2 linked regions of the Lepisosteus oculatus genome follow. The protein of the gene in region 1 purifies or fractionates together with the protein of each later gene. This does not show direct contact. Links are inferred from orthologs where the notes say so. Each region holds a gene or a part of one and is shown on either strand. Other genes may lie near its edges.

Region 1 (7,100 bases):
ATTGACAGTTTGATTTACATTATGTTTTGTGCAGTTGTTGAATTGAAACCCAATTCTTTTAAAATAGAGTTTGTGGTATTGTTTGAATGGTTTATTCTTCATATTATCCCACATACAGTATTACAATTACTTCACTTTCCCCTTTAAACAACAACATTTTTCTAGTGAAGTTCTACAAGAACTGTAGTTTCTATCTATAATTTTAGTACTTGCATATTTTGCAGGTAGAGCGGTTGAACAGCCACTGTGTTTTAGTATATATATGTGTTTTTAAATCAGGGAAAGGCTAAGAGTGTTATCATTAAATTGCAAGTGAATATACTTTAGATAGAAAAATATACTGCAGTTACCCTATAACATCTATTACATTACAAACCCAGGTCCCACAGCTAGTCCCCTGACTTGTAAGAGGTATTCAAACTAGAGATCAGAAGCATTGGGTCACAAAAACATATATATCGGCCAATCTGGGCCTGCTAAATTAAGAAAGGCATTCTTAATTGTAGTTCAATGAGTGTTGCTCACCTCAGAATCTGAGAGGAGCTACATGTTAAGTTACAGTATGATTACAACTTCTATACATTCAGAATTTGAATGTCAGACAAACAACAATTTAAATGTTATAAGAATCACAAAATGATAAGTTCTTGTTACCTAGAAACAAACAAACCTGCAGGAGCACCACATAATTTACATTCCAATATCAAGCTTCAGATACAAACATGATTCAACACAACACCATTAAACAAGTCTGTTTCATGCCAGTTAATAACTGAAGAAATCAAAAACCACTTACCTAACTATATTTTTATGTTTTAGTTCTTTCAACAAGCAAATTTCTCGCAATGCTGAACTTGGAACACCCTGAAAAATTAGAGACATAATACTAATACATAAGAGGCATAATATGTATAAACATGGTAAATTTAAGTCACTATGGATAAAGTTTCAAACTGCATTCTGAGTTTTGTAATTCTATTATTAAATTAATTGTAACTGCATCACACAGCAAATTTTATGCTTTTGTCTAAACTCTTAATAGCACCTGAATGTAACAAATAATCTGTTGTGAATCTATCATGAAATTTACCAGAGAGAAAACACATGATAATTTTCAGTACCTCACTTGGTATGCACTAGAAAAGAAAATAACCAGTTCATACCTCATCGTCGTCGTCTAACCGTACTCTTTTCAGAGCTACAATCTCATGAGTTTCTCTGTTTTTGGCTTTAAAGACTGTTCCATATGTACCTGTATGAATATAAATAAAAGACAAAGAAGAAATAGTTGCTTTTAGAAAAATTGGAAACAAAGGGTAGAAGTATCAATTGGGAAGTAATCTTACAATGACTTCCAAATGAGACAGGGAACTATGTTTATTAATAATGATTATATCTTGAAGGCAGAATACATAACTGTATTTGCTTCTTCAAAACAAATATCTGGTTAATTTAGTATTTATATAACGGGAAAACTTTTATTGCAATGAAAAACATGATGGTAGCCTTACCATGTAAGGAAGGAGATCAAAATAAAACAAGCATGCAGTGAAACCAGCTGTGTTTAATTGCCACGTGAGATTGCTGTTACAAATAGGCAGCTGCAATACCCGAAGCTATGGAGAATGATGATTTGTTTTCATCGGAGGCAGAACACTAAAAAGGATACACAGGCGTTCTCTTTTATCGCGTATTCCTTTAAGAATATACGACCGAGAGACCGAGATAAAGTTTCCAGTTTCTTACGTTTGTATGTACAGGATAACTGTCCGTGCCCATTTGTAGGTTTTCTTCATGCCAAAACTACAGTAAAACTACGAATTCTGAAGTGTTATTTGTTTCGGAAGAGACAAGTCAGTAAGCAGATATATCTTGTTTGATAACTGTCCCCCCTAATAGTATTATATCAATAACTTTCCCAGGTTACTAACACATCCCGAAGTATATCGGTTCCCATGGAAACATTTCATGTGTGGGAATTTTTAGTTTAATAGCTTTAGACGAGCAGAACAATTCATTATGATTATAGATGCAGTATATACATATTGTTCAACAAACATTAGACGAGATTTTAGCAGATGAAATAGTGGCAATTAAAAGCACTCAACATTTAAAACAGTTTGAAAAACAACATTGCTTGCTTCTATACCGATTTAATCATCTTTTTATATTAGAAATGCGTTTTGTTATCATCAGTTACACTCTAAGTCCAACTACGCTTGGGCCTCAGGAAAAAGGTTTAAAATAATAGAACTACTAGGATATTATTTTACATTTATACTAACTAAGATAATAAAGACATCTGCTATAATGCGGTTCAGGCTAATTACAAATAAATAAAGCGCTAATAATTTACCATCTTTTACCACAGGACAGGTTTTAAAAAATCATTAATATAATGCTAAAAAGGAGCGGATTAGCTATATTTCTATATATATAAAAAGATTCTACAGATAATTTTAAATGGAAATAATCTAAAGCTGAATTGACAGCCCACAAAACAGCGGATCAAACAAACGAAAAATGTTATCTTACCGATTCAGAGTGAGATGAAATGTCATTATAAATTTTAAACAAAAAGCTAAGAATAGTTTCATTCATTCCCGTCGATAAATAAGAACCGACGACCTTTGAATCACGAAAATGACCATCAGAAAGAATTGCCTGTAACCAACCTGCTTTGCCCAAACTCCGCATTAGCTTTTACGCGAGGCCCGGGGCTTCTGATGGCAGCGTAGGCCACAGTCGTACGGAGATTTAAATAAACTGACTACAAGAAGAATTAACAGGGTTTCATCGCACACAAAACAATAAAAACGCACAACTACATATATCTGATCTAACAAATGTGCATTGTCTCTTACCTTCTCCAATCTTCTCAAGTTTCTCATATTTCTGCATTTTCTGTTCAAATTATATATATGTATGTTTTGTTTTCTCCCAGGATTAATTTCAAGGGAGGTTTTGCAATAAATTTTGAATGTAAGACTACAACAAACTGAGACATCTATTGGCAGAAAAATGAATTGCATGACTACAAAATCTGTCACCACCCTGAACTACAAGCGACAGCGAATGTGACGGACTGGCAAAGGTGTTGTTCATACAGTACATTTTCCGTGTACATACATTTTTTTTTTTGCTAAATCTTATTAAATTCTTTGGAATTTCATTGTCACATAGAACAGTTAATGGAAGTTAAAACTGCATCTTGTTGGTACAACCCTGGTTCTCTACAAGCAACGAAGCAATGATTTCCCATCCGCTACTGTGATGATCACTCCTTTTTACTTGCAACAGACTCCGAAACAAATACCATGGTTTCTGCACTTTACAAATGCTCGTCTAATATTCAGATACTGATGCAACAGATCTTTCTTGGAATAAAATGAATACATTTGTAGGTTTCCAATATTAACAAAGTTGATAAATTAATTGATGGTACTGAAATAAACCCCTTTGATGTACTTCAGAAACATTGGTGTTTCTTTTGTTTCTCGTGTTATTTGAAACATTTCAGTAACACTGACAGTTGGTGACTCCTCCAAGTTTTATGGGTGCTAAGACCCTTATCCCCCACAACACTGTCTTTTTCAACCTAGAACCAGTTCATCGACCCCAGTGTACATAAGTAATCCTACATTATATCCCAATTTATTACAGCCTATCAAGCTATCCATCTCACACAGCCCATGACTCAGAATATCCAAGGGACACACACTCATAGACCATATGAACAAGATGGACCCAAAAAAGATGGATCTGTCCAGGATCACTGTTCTCCAAAACCAGCTTAAGTCGGTGACTGGGAGTGCCTCCTTCCACTACAGCGAAGAACGTCTTTGTAATCCTTCGATGGTCTTTGGCGTCCTCTTCAACTCCAACCATCCTGAACATTGTGGTCTCTCATGTTCCCCTTTGCCCTGATTTGTCTATGTCCAGTTTTGGGTGGGGGAGAGGAGTAGACAACACAGAAGCCTTCCTCTGCTGCTCGCTAGAGACTCCCTGGTGTCCACATCCTCTCCTAGGTCCACGGCTGCAACCTGTGTCCTCCTCAATTTTTCCATCTTGAACTGTTTTCTGAGTTCTCCTAACTGGGACTAAACAATCTCTCCTAGAAAGGGCTCAGGATTCCTTCTTAAGGGAGGTGGAAGTGTCACAATGATGGCGCCTTTGAACTGTGTGGTACAGTAATTAAGGAGTGTGTGGTAAATAACGAGCGCGTATGCTGAAAGGACCTTTGCTCAATGTAAGGAAGCTCAGAGACCAAGGATAGATAATGCATCAATTGGCCATTCTCTGCAAAATTAAAGTCAACTTTGTCCTTGATACCTGTTGGCCCCGCACTCATTTTTTCCACTCAACAATAGCAGAAGTATAATCCTTCTTCCAACCATGTAACACTGCTGTTAAAACACTTTCGCTGCCTGTCCAATACTAAATGATTTATACAAGTCTTTATTTAATCAAGATTAGACAACTATAATACTATAGTTAATAATAATATAGTACTATAGCACGTGTATTTTAATTGAGGTACTAAACAGACTTCTGTAAACTCATAATCTAATACAAGTATGTACTTGCATTACCAAAAGTCTATATTCACACCACCTATACTTAGAAGAAGAAAATGGAATGCTTTTTCTCAGATTAAAATTTGAAAACTGCACTATATTAAAATACACATCTGATTGTAACTCTAACATTTGGAATAAAATAGTATAGACACAACAGAGTAAAATAAAACATATAATTATTAAACTGCATTTATATAGCCCTTTTCACTTTAAAGGATCCACCTTAACCACCAGAGCAACAGCACCCACCTGTGTGAAGTCCACATCTGTTAAATTCCAGTAGCACTGCCACCCAACATATCAAGAGGAAAACTGAAAAATAGCTCTACTAATTGAATCAAGAGTTGTGGTAGGCTGTATTGGGTAAGCCTAGAGTAGAACTGAGCTGGGGCTCATGAGTTAACACCCTGATCCTACCATGATTGCCACAGGATCGTTTAATGGCCAGCAGCTATATTACCCTGCAACTCACAACTGGCAGCCCATTGAAACTAAGCAGGTGTGAGCCCGGTCAGTCCCTGGATGGGAGACCTCCTGGAAAAACTAAGGTTGCTGATGGAAGAGGTGTTAGTGGTCCAGCAGGGGGTGCTTGCTCTGCAGTCTGTGTGGGTCCTAATGCCCCAGTATATTGAGAGGGACACTATACTGTAAAAAGGCACTGTCTTTTGGATAAGATGTAAAACCAAGGTCCTGGCTTTCTGTGATCATTAAAAATCCCAGGGCGTCTCTTGAAAAGAGTAGGGGTGTTACCCTGGTGTCCTGGCCAAATTTCCCATTTGGCCTTTACCAATCATGGCCTCCTAATAATCCCCATCTATGAACTGGCTTCATCATTCTGTTCTCCTCCCCACTAATAGTTGATGTGTGGCTGCTATGGCTGCTGTTACATCATCCAGGTGGGGCTACACATTGGTGATGGTGTAGAGGGGACCCCATTACCTGTAAAGCTCTTTGAGTGGAGTGTCCAGAAAAGTGCTATATAAGTGTGAGCTATTATTATTAATGTAATAATAATAACAACAACAACAACAATAATGATTATCAGGATCTAAGTTTAAGGTCTCATCCAAAGTCTCTCAATCATCAAGAAATGGAAGGCACCTTGTATCACCCAGAGAACTTCTGAGATCAGGTTGTATCTTCATACTGAGTAGATGAGCAAGGGATGCTACCACGAGGTTAATGGCAACTTTGAAAGAACTGCACAGCTCAATAGCTTAGATAGAACAAAATGAGCAGTGATGAGTGAAGAAAAAAATAGATGGAACAAAACACAAGCAAATCTTAGAAGAAAACCTGCCTTAATCTACTAAAGACTTAAACAAGTTATTGGATAACAGGTCATCTTTCAGCAGGATAATTGAAACAATTGCAATTGCAAAAGAATTGCTGCCAAAGGTGCTACCACCAAATATTGAATTCATGGGGCTGAATACTTAGGCAATCAATATGTTTAAGATTTATTTGTTTTAGTTTTTGCTGACATTTACAGTAGCTTATCTTAACCCTAAACATCTGCTGTATCAGCACTGATTTTTAAAAAATTAGAGCTTAAAAAATGTGTATACTGTACATCCATTTTTATTTCACAAAATGGGACACCACAAGAAGGGTCTGAATACTTTTGCAAGGTCCTGTACACACACTATGTCATTGGTCTATTAAGTGGACGTAGATGCTAATTCTAACTCCTTAAGGTAGAATACTTTCCCGTCCTTCAAGATATCATTACTGTATTTTAAACACGATGGTCCTGTAAATGTAATACAAAGTCAAAGAGGAAACAGAGAAATCATTTTATACTTTTCCAAAATTACTCAACACCTAACTTCTTAGGGTTGAAAAAGTTGTCAAGTTTAATTATCCAAAAAAATAAAGCAAAACTCAAGCAATAATTCTTCCTGTTCAATGGTTTTCATAAATTACTGCTGACAAACTCCTGTAGTGTTTTCATCGCTGTCTGCTTTTAAGGGATATACCTTCTTTTATAGTTCAAAAATTATAATCAGTATTGTACAAACTTTTTAACTTCATGATTACATTAAACTAGATCTTCAAACATTTCCAATGATATTTCAAAACCAAAAGAAAAATGCATTTTTGGACAAACATTCTCAAAGCAGGTAGACATTTTACTGCTCTGATTTTTCCCATCATGGTCAATAATTTCTTACAAGATTGTAGGATATGAACTGTCAGTAAGTGAAATCGATCTGAAAAGAAATTGATTTAGAAGGCAAAGACAAAGATCAACTGTTGATTAAAATCTTCTGTAGACTATGCTACTTTAGATTCATTTCTTTCCCTCTGTCCTCTGTCTTTGAGTCAGATCTGCGTACAGTCCACCTTTCTTCAGAAGTTCAGAATGTGTACCAGCCTTAGGAAAGACAAAAAAAGAACAACATCTCTTTTTCAGTGTTGCAAGATGAAGACATTAAGCAAACCACACAATGTTCAGTCTAAAGTTGGACTGAAAGTGGTTATTAAAGCAGTTAAGGTTTAAACTAATTCTCTTCTAAT
Region 2 (7,832 bases), on another chromosome or scaffold:
ACTGAAGTGGAAAGTGAGTGATTCTACAGGCTCACCTCAGACACTGACAGTCCCATTCTGAGAAGCTCTTCTGCCAGTTCCAGCAGCGCCCCAGCAAACACCAGAACAAAGTTGGTCCCATCCCCAACCTCCTGCTCTTGCATGTGGGAAGCCATGACGATCATTTTAGCTGCAGGGTGCTGAACCTGGTGGGTGCACAAACAAACAAAAAAAAGATCTTATGCACCTTGTTTCTTCTCCAATTCTCACACTGTACACATGTCACTGAATACCTTTCTCCTGCAATGGGGACTTTTATCAAAAGCTTTTTGACAATCTAAATTTACCAATCTAAATATTATATGCTCCATGTGTTTCATTAATTCTGATACTTGTTCAAAGGACTCTATATTCCATATAGGTAATCCTCTAGGTTAATTCTAATAACTAATTCCATAACCTTACATGTAATAGAATTCAGACTAATTGATCTATAATTATTTGGGTCGGTTTGGGCACTTGTCTTATTGATGGGCACTATTCTACAGTTCATGGGTACTATCCCTGTCTTTTTTTAGATTTCACCATTACAACTCCTCTGCCTTTACAACTATAGCATGAAGACTACCTATTTTATTCATATATTATTTTACGTATTCCTAGCCTGACATACAATGATGGAGACAGCAGTAGCACACTCTCTGCTAGAGTACAAAATATTTAAGCCACAGGGTGAAGTACTACATAGACAGTAAAGGTTTAAAAAAAGGAATACTGGTCCTTACAGGCTAAAAGATATTCTGATTTTGTTCAAAATGATATCTAAATTAATTAAGTCAACCGCCTTGTTAATTGATCATAGATAAATTGTTCCAAACCTTTAGGAATATTACCCATAAAAACTTTTGGACTGGGTTCCACATAACCAGAGTTGGAGATCCATCATTAAGAAATTAAAAGTTTCTGCTGATCTCTGTCTTCGGCTTTTCTCACAAAACACTAGTTAAACAATTAGGAATTAAGGCGGTTCAAAAATGAACTAAATACCTCAAGTTCTCGCAGAATAGTTGCAGCATCATTAGTGACAAAGAGCTTTTCCAAGTGGTTGATGACCATTTTATTCATGCCTGAAAAGAAGTAAAAAGGCCCAGATATTAAAAAACAGAATTCTGCATTCCTATAGATTAATATTTATGTGTACTTTTCTGTAGGCTTATAGCATTAAACACACATCCTGAAAATATCAAATCAGTAGTAGTACACCCAGTCACATCTCTTATTTAAAAAACATTTCAAAATTATTCATTATCCATGTAGGTCTTAAATCACAGAATCTCATAAAAAAATAGACTCAACCTCTATTGTAATATTGTATTGGGCACTGATCAAACATCTGATATTGACAAGCACAGTCCAGACCTACCATTTGGACCGTAGGCTGTCCGTGTGGTCTGTGCCAGCTCTTTGCAGGCCTGAATGTTTCGGAAGACTGCCTCCTCCAACCCAGAGTAGTGCTGAAATGAACAGGTTTTAAAAAATAAAACAACTTATTTAAAACAGCTAGCCTAATGATTAACTGAAAATTGATCTGGTCTGCCCTGCATCTGTGAATGCCACTCCTTTCACTGTCATCACCATAACATTTACTAACAATACAATATTTGTTTTGGGAAGTACTGCAAATAAGAGCTATGTCTATACTGTTGTATATGGGACATTCCATACAGACTGTGCCGTGTTCATGGAGCCTAATTATTCCACTAAAACAGGTTATGGAACCAATGATGACCTAACAGTACTAAGCATATATTGTTCACTTCCACACAGAGGTAGTTCAGCCCCCTGAACACATCTGCCATGTGTCAAGCAATTATTTCTGATGTTAACATTTGGATAGCTGTCTCCTGAACTAGAGTAACTGCATGAAAGTGTGTATAAACAAACTACTGTATGGCTGCAGGCATGTATTCCTGTAAATTATTTATTTTACATAGAGTAACAACTTTAAATCAAATTAGGCTTTGTACTGCTTGTGCCATCTTTATCACCTGTGATCAGACTGCATTAACGTTAAACAACAATGCTTCCAGAAATAGCAGTGATAAAACAATAAGCCCAGCATTTACCATAGATTCAATTACAATTTTGAGTTCGAGTCTACTGCCGCGACACTGCTGTAGAATTGACAACAGTTACGGCAACTTTGCCTGGCAACGCCCTGTAGCATCATGCCGAATACGTTTGTGTTGTATATACAATTGTTACTTGAAGTACAGAAGCGTCTAGCGATTTTAAAACAAGCCCTTCTCTATTATAAATCCGAATTAGTCTGAATTCGGAAAATTCAGTTCATGAAAATCAACTGGCGTATGCTTGGTACTAACTGTTCCTCCATGAACAAAAGCGTTAGCAATAATAATACTACGGATTTTAGCTACATTCCTGTTCGAGAGCTGTTTTAACACCGAATGGCAGCTCCCGAAATATCTCCATGTATGGGTAAAAACGGAGTGTCGTCAATGAATGATTTCCACTACGGCTGCCGTTAGAAAGCACATGTCCCTCGTCTTACTGCATTTAGCTACAGTACAGAAAATGCTTAAAGAGGCACTGATTACACAAATATGCTGCAAGATCGTTTAATAAGTTATGATTTACGAGTTATTCGTGCCACAACAACCTACAATTTCAAAAAGCCCGTACAAAACGAGCAAACGAATGCTATATATCACAATAGGATGAACTAATCTAACTGTGGCCTACACAGGCTTTTTCTAGAAGTGTCCCACATGACACAGCGTCCAACCGCACTTCCCTTGCAATTGATACAAAATTGGACATAAAAGGTCATACATAGGTTAATCTTCAAAACAGATGACTAAATGTTCTTTACCTTTGCACCATCCTTTAACATCTGGGCAAAGCCCGGAGCTTTAGGTACGTGAAGAGCCATATTTCAAGTGGTTTTGCTCCCCGGTACAGACAGAAAAAGAACCGGTGCGTGTGCGGAGAGTCAGAACAATCGAGCTACGAGCAAAGGCGGAGCAGGAAAAGTAAATCGAGTATCGAGTTCATCGCTGTAGCTGGTAGTGGGCTGAACCTGTGGATGTGCGTCAACTCGTATACTTTTCATCATGGGATTAACATCTACCTGTTTTTGTTGATGGTAGATTACACTCGTGATTACTTCGTTTCCATCATTATTAATATTTTTTATTCTTGTAAAAAACGTTATTTAAAAAGGCATACAAGTAATTTTAAAAGAGCAATGCCATGTGTATTATTTTATTAAATTGTTTTAGTGATCTTCAAAGCTTTTCTTATAATTTAAACGTCCATATGTGTATTCATTGAAAGGTGTCCCTACTCACCGTACATTTTGAATATGATCACAATCATAATAGGTAAACTATTTTGTTAATAATGGGTGATATGCTGTATTTGTAACAAGGAATGAAACACTTGTATATTGTAACGCTTACGGCCGACAGGCGCTGTGTAAGAGCCGGCGTACCAGAGCGGGTGACGTCACCGCCCTTCCCTGTGATAGCAGGACCACAGCTACTGGGCTGTGGAGAGATCTCTCTTTGGCTCACGGGGCTAGGTCGCTGCAGAGAGACGCGGAAGTCCCGGGTTCGAGCCCCGGACGGTGCAGGGGCCGACCTAATGCGGCAAGGGCGCCCGCCGGAGCCCCCGTTGCGTTACATTGGTGTCAGAAGTGGGATGGGATAGCCCTTCGCCGGGGACGGCGATTTAAGCGGGGGAGAGTGTAACGCTTACGGCCGACAGGCGCTGTGTAAGAGCCGGCGTACCAGAGCGGGTGACGTCACCGCCCTTCCCTGTGATAGCAGGACCACAGCTACTGGGCTGTGGAGAGATCTCTCTTTGGCTCACGGGGCTAGGTCGCTGCAGAGAGACGCGGAAGTCCCGGGTTCGAGCCCCGGACGGTGCAGGGGCCGACCTAATGCGGCAAGGGCGCCCGCCGGAGCCCCCGTTGCGTTACAATATTAAGGATCAAGTAATAGGTTTATTCCATGCTGAAAAGAGAAGAGAGAAAACACAACGTTTCGCCAGTGGAGTCTTCTTCGGGTGTAAAGTGTGGCACATGATGACACCTGAAGAAGGCTCCACTGCCGAAGTGTTGTGTTTTCTCTCTTCTCTTTTCAGCATGGAATAAACCTATTACTTGCTCCTTTGCAGATTGCGCATGCTGATGCAGCTACCCACCTGAACTACTTATATATTAATCCTTAGAGAAAAGTGCTTTAGCCATTATTAAGCAAATATGTCGTGGTGGGTACCCTCTTGATTTAATTTATGTTTTCTTCTTTAAAATCTGTATTTTATATTGCCTGATGATAATCTATGACTTTAAATTAGTGAAGTTGGACAATATTTTAAAAGAGTGGTATCTCTGATGATTCCCGTGAGATAGGGGTGTCATGTATTACATACTGTATAAATACATATAAAAGGCATAATAACTAGGATAAGATGCAGGCTGATGAGTCAATGATCTTGAGTATTAACTTAATTTTATGCACATAATCACTTCAATCAGTCAATTGAGACATCACTCTCAAACAGATTTAGTGTAATTTTTATTTGTACTGTAGGTACATATCCAGTGACTCATGGCCCAACTAGAACTGGTGGACCATTCAAAGGACCATGGACCTTGTCATAAAACACCTAACCTGGATTTAAAGGTAGCACTTGCAACATTGGTAACAGTCAATTAAACACAGCAGAAAAGGTCACAAATGAGAGCCCACTGAGCTCGTTTGGTTCTCTCTTTCTATAGTCACTTAACCAGTACTTGTTGCACTCTCCTTAGCACGGCACCATAAATTGAGAATTTAGTGTAGCCAATCAATCCTAGCCAACATGTCGAGGGGAGGTGGGAGTACACTGGGGCACCTGTTGAAAATCCACATGAACTTGCAGATGGCATGCAACCAGAATTTATCCTGGATCCCTGAGGCAGCAATACTAACCACTATGCCACCATTTCTTCACTACTGCATGTATAGTTACACATTGTAATTTCTGACTGTTTGGTAGTAAAGGTTAACACTGCCCAGCTCTGGTCATGTGTAAATGATCCTAAATGTTTTCTGAACTCAGCAGTATCTTCAGTTTAGTGCTTGCTGAAGTCAATACACTATGCTAAACAAGTCTGTCTGCAAGAGCGGAGTTCTCTGGATTGCGTCGTATTCTCATCATTCTCACTAGGTACTGCCGTTTGGTATCTATTTACAGTATGTGGTCTATAACCTTAATTTAGTCTTAAATTATCATGTTATGGAAACTCTGAACCTGCTCTATACATTGTAAAAAAGGCATATACTGTAGCACAAGGAGGGCAGTGGAGAATTATTTTTAAAGGTTCCAGAGAGGAAAGCCTTGGAAGAAAGACAACCTCAGAACAAAGGGAGAAGGAAGAGTTTTACAGCAAACATGAAAGCTTTTAAGTATGGCACATAACACTGAATTATTTAAAACGAAACGGCAAGACACTTGAAGAAGAAATGTGATGCAGTCATGAGGATCAATGTAATCAGAGGATTAGTTGTGGAGTGTTTTTTCCCTCCTAACTACTGTAGCAACTATTACATGTCTGGATTGTCCATGCATCAAATCAACTGGACATGGATGAGTCCTGTGGCATCTGTTTGATCTGAACTTGCCTTATATTCTCTTGTTGTTGTTTATGTTCAGTTTGTTTTTTTTCTGGGTCATCATACCATGTCAAAGGCAATGCTTCTGTTAGCCCATTCCTCTATGTAGTATTAATTTACATTTTATTTAAAAAAAAAACATTTTTATCCAGCTGGTCCTTTTCTTTTATATGCCGAATGCGTCAGCAGGGAGCATTGCACTGCAAAGGTTAAGGTTGTGCCCAAGTAATTAGGCAGCCTCTTTCTGGTACACTGCATCATTCCAGAGTTATTGCGTTCAGTCCAGCACAACTATGTCACTCAAAGCTGATTGGAGCTGGAGGCATTTTTCGTGTCTAGAGTCATGCCATCTGAGCAATTTAATTGGAACCCAACTGACAGACAGGGGCATGCCGACAACGTCCCTCAGCTGCCAAGCGCTGTCTGTGTTGTAAGCTATCTCAATGTGAACATGTTCGGAGGCGACTGACTGTGTGCAGTGAAGAGCTTGCTAAGCACCCTTCGTGAGAAGGTTTCTCTCAAGACATCCTTGTGAGCATAAACGGGCATTCCCATCAAAAACCGAAGACAAAATCTAAAGCTCACCCACAAAGAAGGGAGACTAGAGTTTAGAAATACACCAGAGAAAGGACGGTTAGTAGCAATATGCAGTCTTTACCCATCTCTGGTCTTAACTTATGAGTGCTGACAGCAGTTGGCTGTCAGATCTTTTGTTTGTAGGAGAGCAAGGCAAACAAGGCTGGCCCTGGTTTTACCTCACCCTTAGGATTGACTTCCTAAAGGTAAGTCAGTGTGAATTAATATTGCCTTTATCCTTTTGTTATTGGACCCTTATTGAAGTACATACTGTATAAATAAACCATGGCATGATAGATTATTGTATCTGGTTAACTTTCACCCAAAATGTGCCTGTAATGTTTAACACAAAGCATCTTCTCTCCTGAACTGGAAACTCTACTGATTTCTAATCAAGTGTCAGAATACTGTGCTGCTCTGTGCCTACTGAGTTTCATTCTCAGCTTCTAGTAGAGAGTAGTTCCTGCCTTCTCTAGCGAGCATGTGTTTTTTAAATAATTTTTCACTGCTACAGTGCTTTGTTGGCATTGGCAGCTTGCAGTCATTCATTTTGATCTGTTTCAAATATAATATTGTCATTTTCAGATGTAGCTGTTAGTTTAATTTTGACAGGCACAAATTCAAATGGAGCCAAATTAGGTCCCTCCTACTTTGAGAAACTTTCTGTTCTGGAACATTTAATATGACAGTTTGTATTCAAACAAAATTGTCTCTACTCAGAAAATGAGGAGTAACAGTGACAGACTGGCAAGATACACTGTTGCACTTGTTTGTATTTTAATACAATTGATTTATAATAGTAATGTATATTTCAAAATGTGTGTATTCACTGTTTTATCCTGTTTATCAGTGAAGGTACTGTAGTATGTTAAGTTTTTGTCTCTATCCATGTTGGGATCATGTTTTTGTTTTACGAGACCCAGCTGAAAGGCGAGCCTATGTGATTTGCTTTGTATTTTCTTTTTGGTTACAACAGGGTTTCTGTGGTAATTCAAACAATTCAACAGGAAAAGTGTTAGCAATATTGACAATATAAGGAAGAAGGCCAACATTTCTTAATCAGACTGATAGTTTGGACTTCATAAGCTGTGTTTGTACCTTTGAACTTCCACTGCTTTTTTAAATCTACTTTATTGGATAGATAGTAAATAGATGCTCTCAGTATGTATTGATTGGAGGTTGTATATCATCATTTTCAATATACTTTGTCATACTGCTGGACATTAGAGACTGAAAAATTATGTTGAGTTGTTTCAGGGATAAATTACAATTCTTTATATATTAGTGTTTGGAATTGTTTTGAGTTTTCAGCTTTGATTAATAACACAAGATTCAAAATATGCAAAAAAAAAGCTGAGAATAAAACAATATTGTTTAAATATTTTATGGTACAGCTAAAACCACTCCACAAAATAGAAGTATTAATTATTAAAGATACAAGAAAGTTAGTTAAAATAGTTCTTCAAGCTGTGGTAATCATAGAGGTTTAGAGAGCTTTGGGCCTACACATAAGCCTAAGACATTTCCAACAAATAACCAGAACAGAAATAAACCTTCTCAATACAGTTTAATATGGTAAAATTTTGATGGTGCACA

What was found.
Region 2: the proteins of cdk5 (region 1) and cct8 purify together in Homo sapiens (affinity purification with mass spectrometry; 3 studies listed by BioGRID and IntAct, with this or other methods). This does not show direct contact. The link is inferred for Lepisosteus oculatus from reciprocal best matches to the Homo sapiens genes CDK5 and CCT8.

Annotation. Positions count from the first base shown.
Region 1 is NC_090701.1:30,515,597-30,522,696, reverse strand, and holds the start of cdk5 (cyclin-dependent kinase 5), read right to left. Parts: upstream 3,019-7,100; 5' UTR 2,902-3,018; coding exon 2,865-2,901; intron 2,765-2,864; exon of another isoform or gene 2,698-2,764; coding exon of another isoform or gene 2,676-2,697; intron 1,253-2,675; coding exon 1,164-1,252; intron 865-1,163; coding exon 797-864; intron 1-796. Other genes in the region: abcb8 (mitochondrial potassium channel ATP-binding subunit), read right to left, coding at 6,874-6,957. UniProt on the Homo sapiens protein: Proline-directed serine/threonine-protein kinase essential for neuronal cell cycle arrest and differentiation and may be involved in apoptotic cell death in neuronal diseases by triggering abortive cell cycle re-entry. Interacts with D1 and D3-type G1 cyclins.
Region 2 is NC_090700.1:19,416,068-19,423,899, forward strand, and holds the start of cct8 (T-complex protein 1 subunit theta), read right to left. Parts: upstream 3,019-7,832; 5' UTR 2,933-3,018; coding exon 2,873-2,932; intron 1,494-2,872; coding exon 1,403-1,493; intron 1,107-1,402; coding exon 1,027-1,106; intron 186-1,026; coding exon 36-185; intron 1-35. UniProt on the Homo sapiens protein: Component of the chaperonin-containing T-complex (TRiC), a molecular chaperone complex that assists the folding of actin, tubulin and other proteins upon ATP hydrolysis.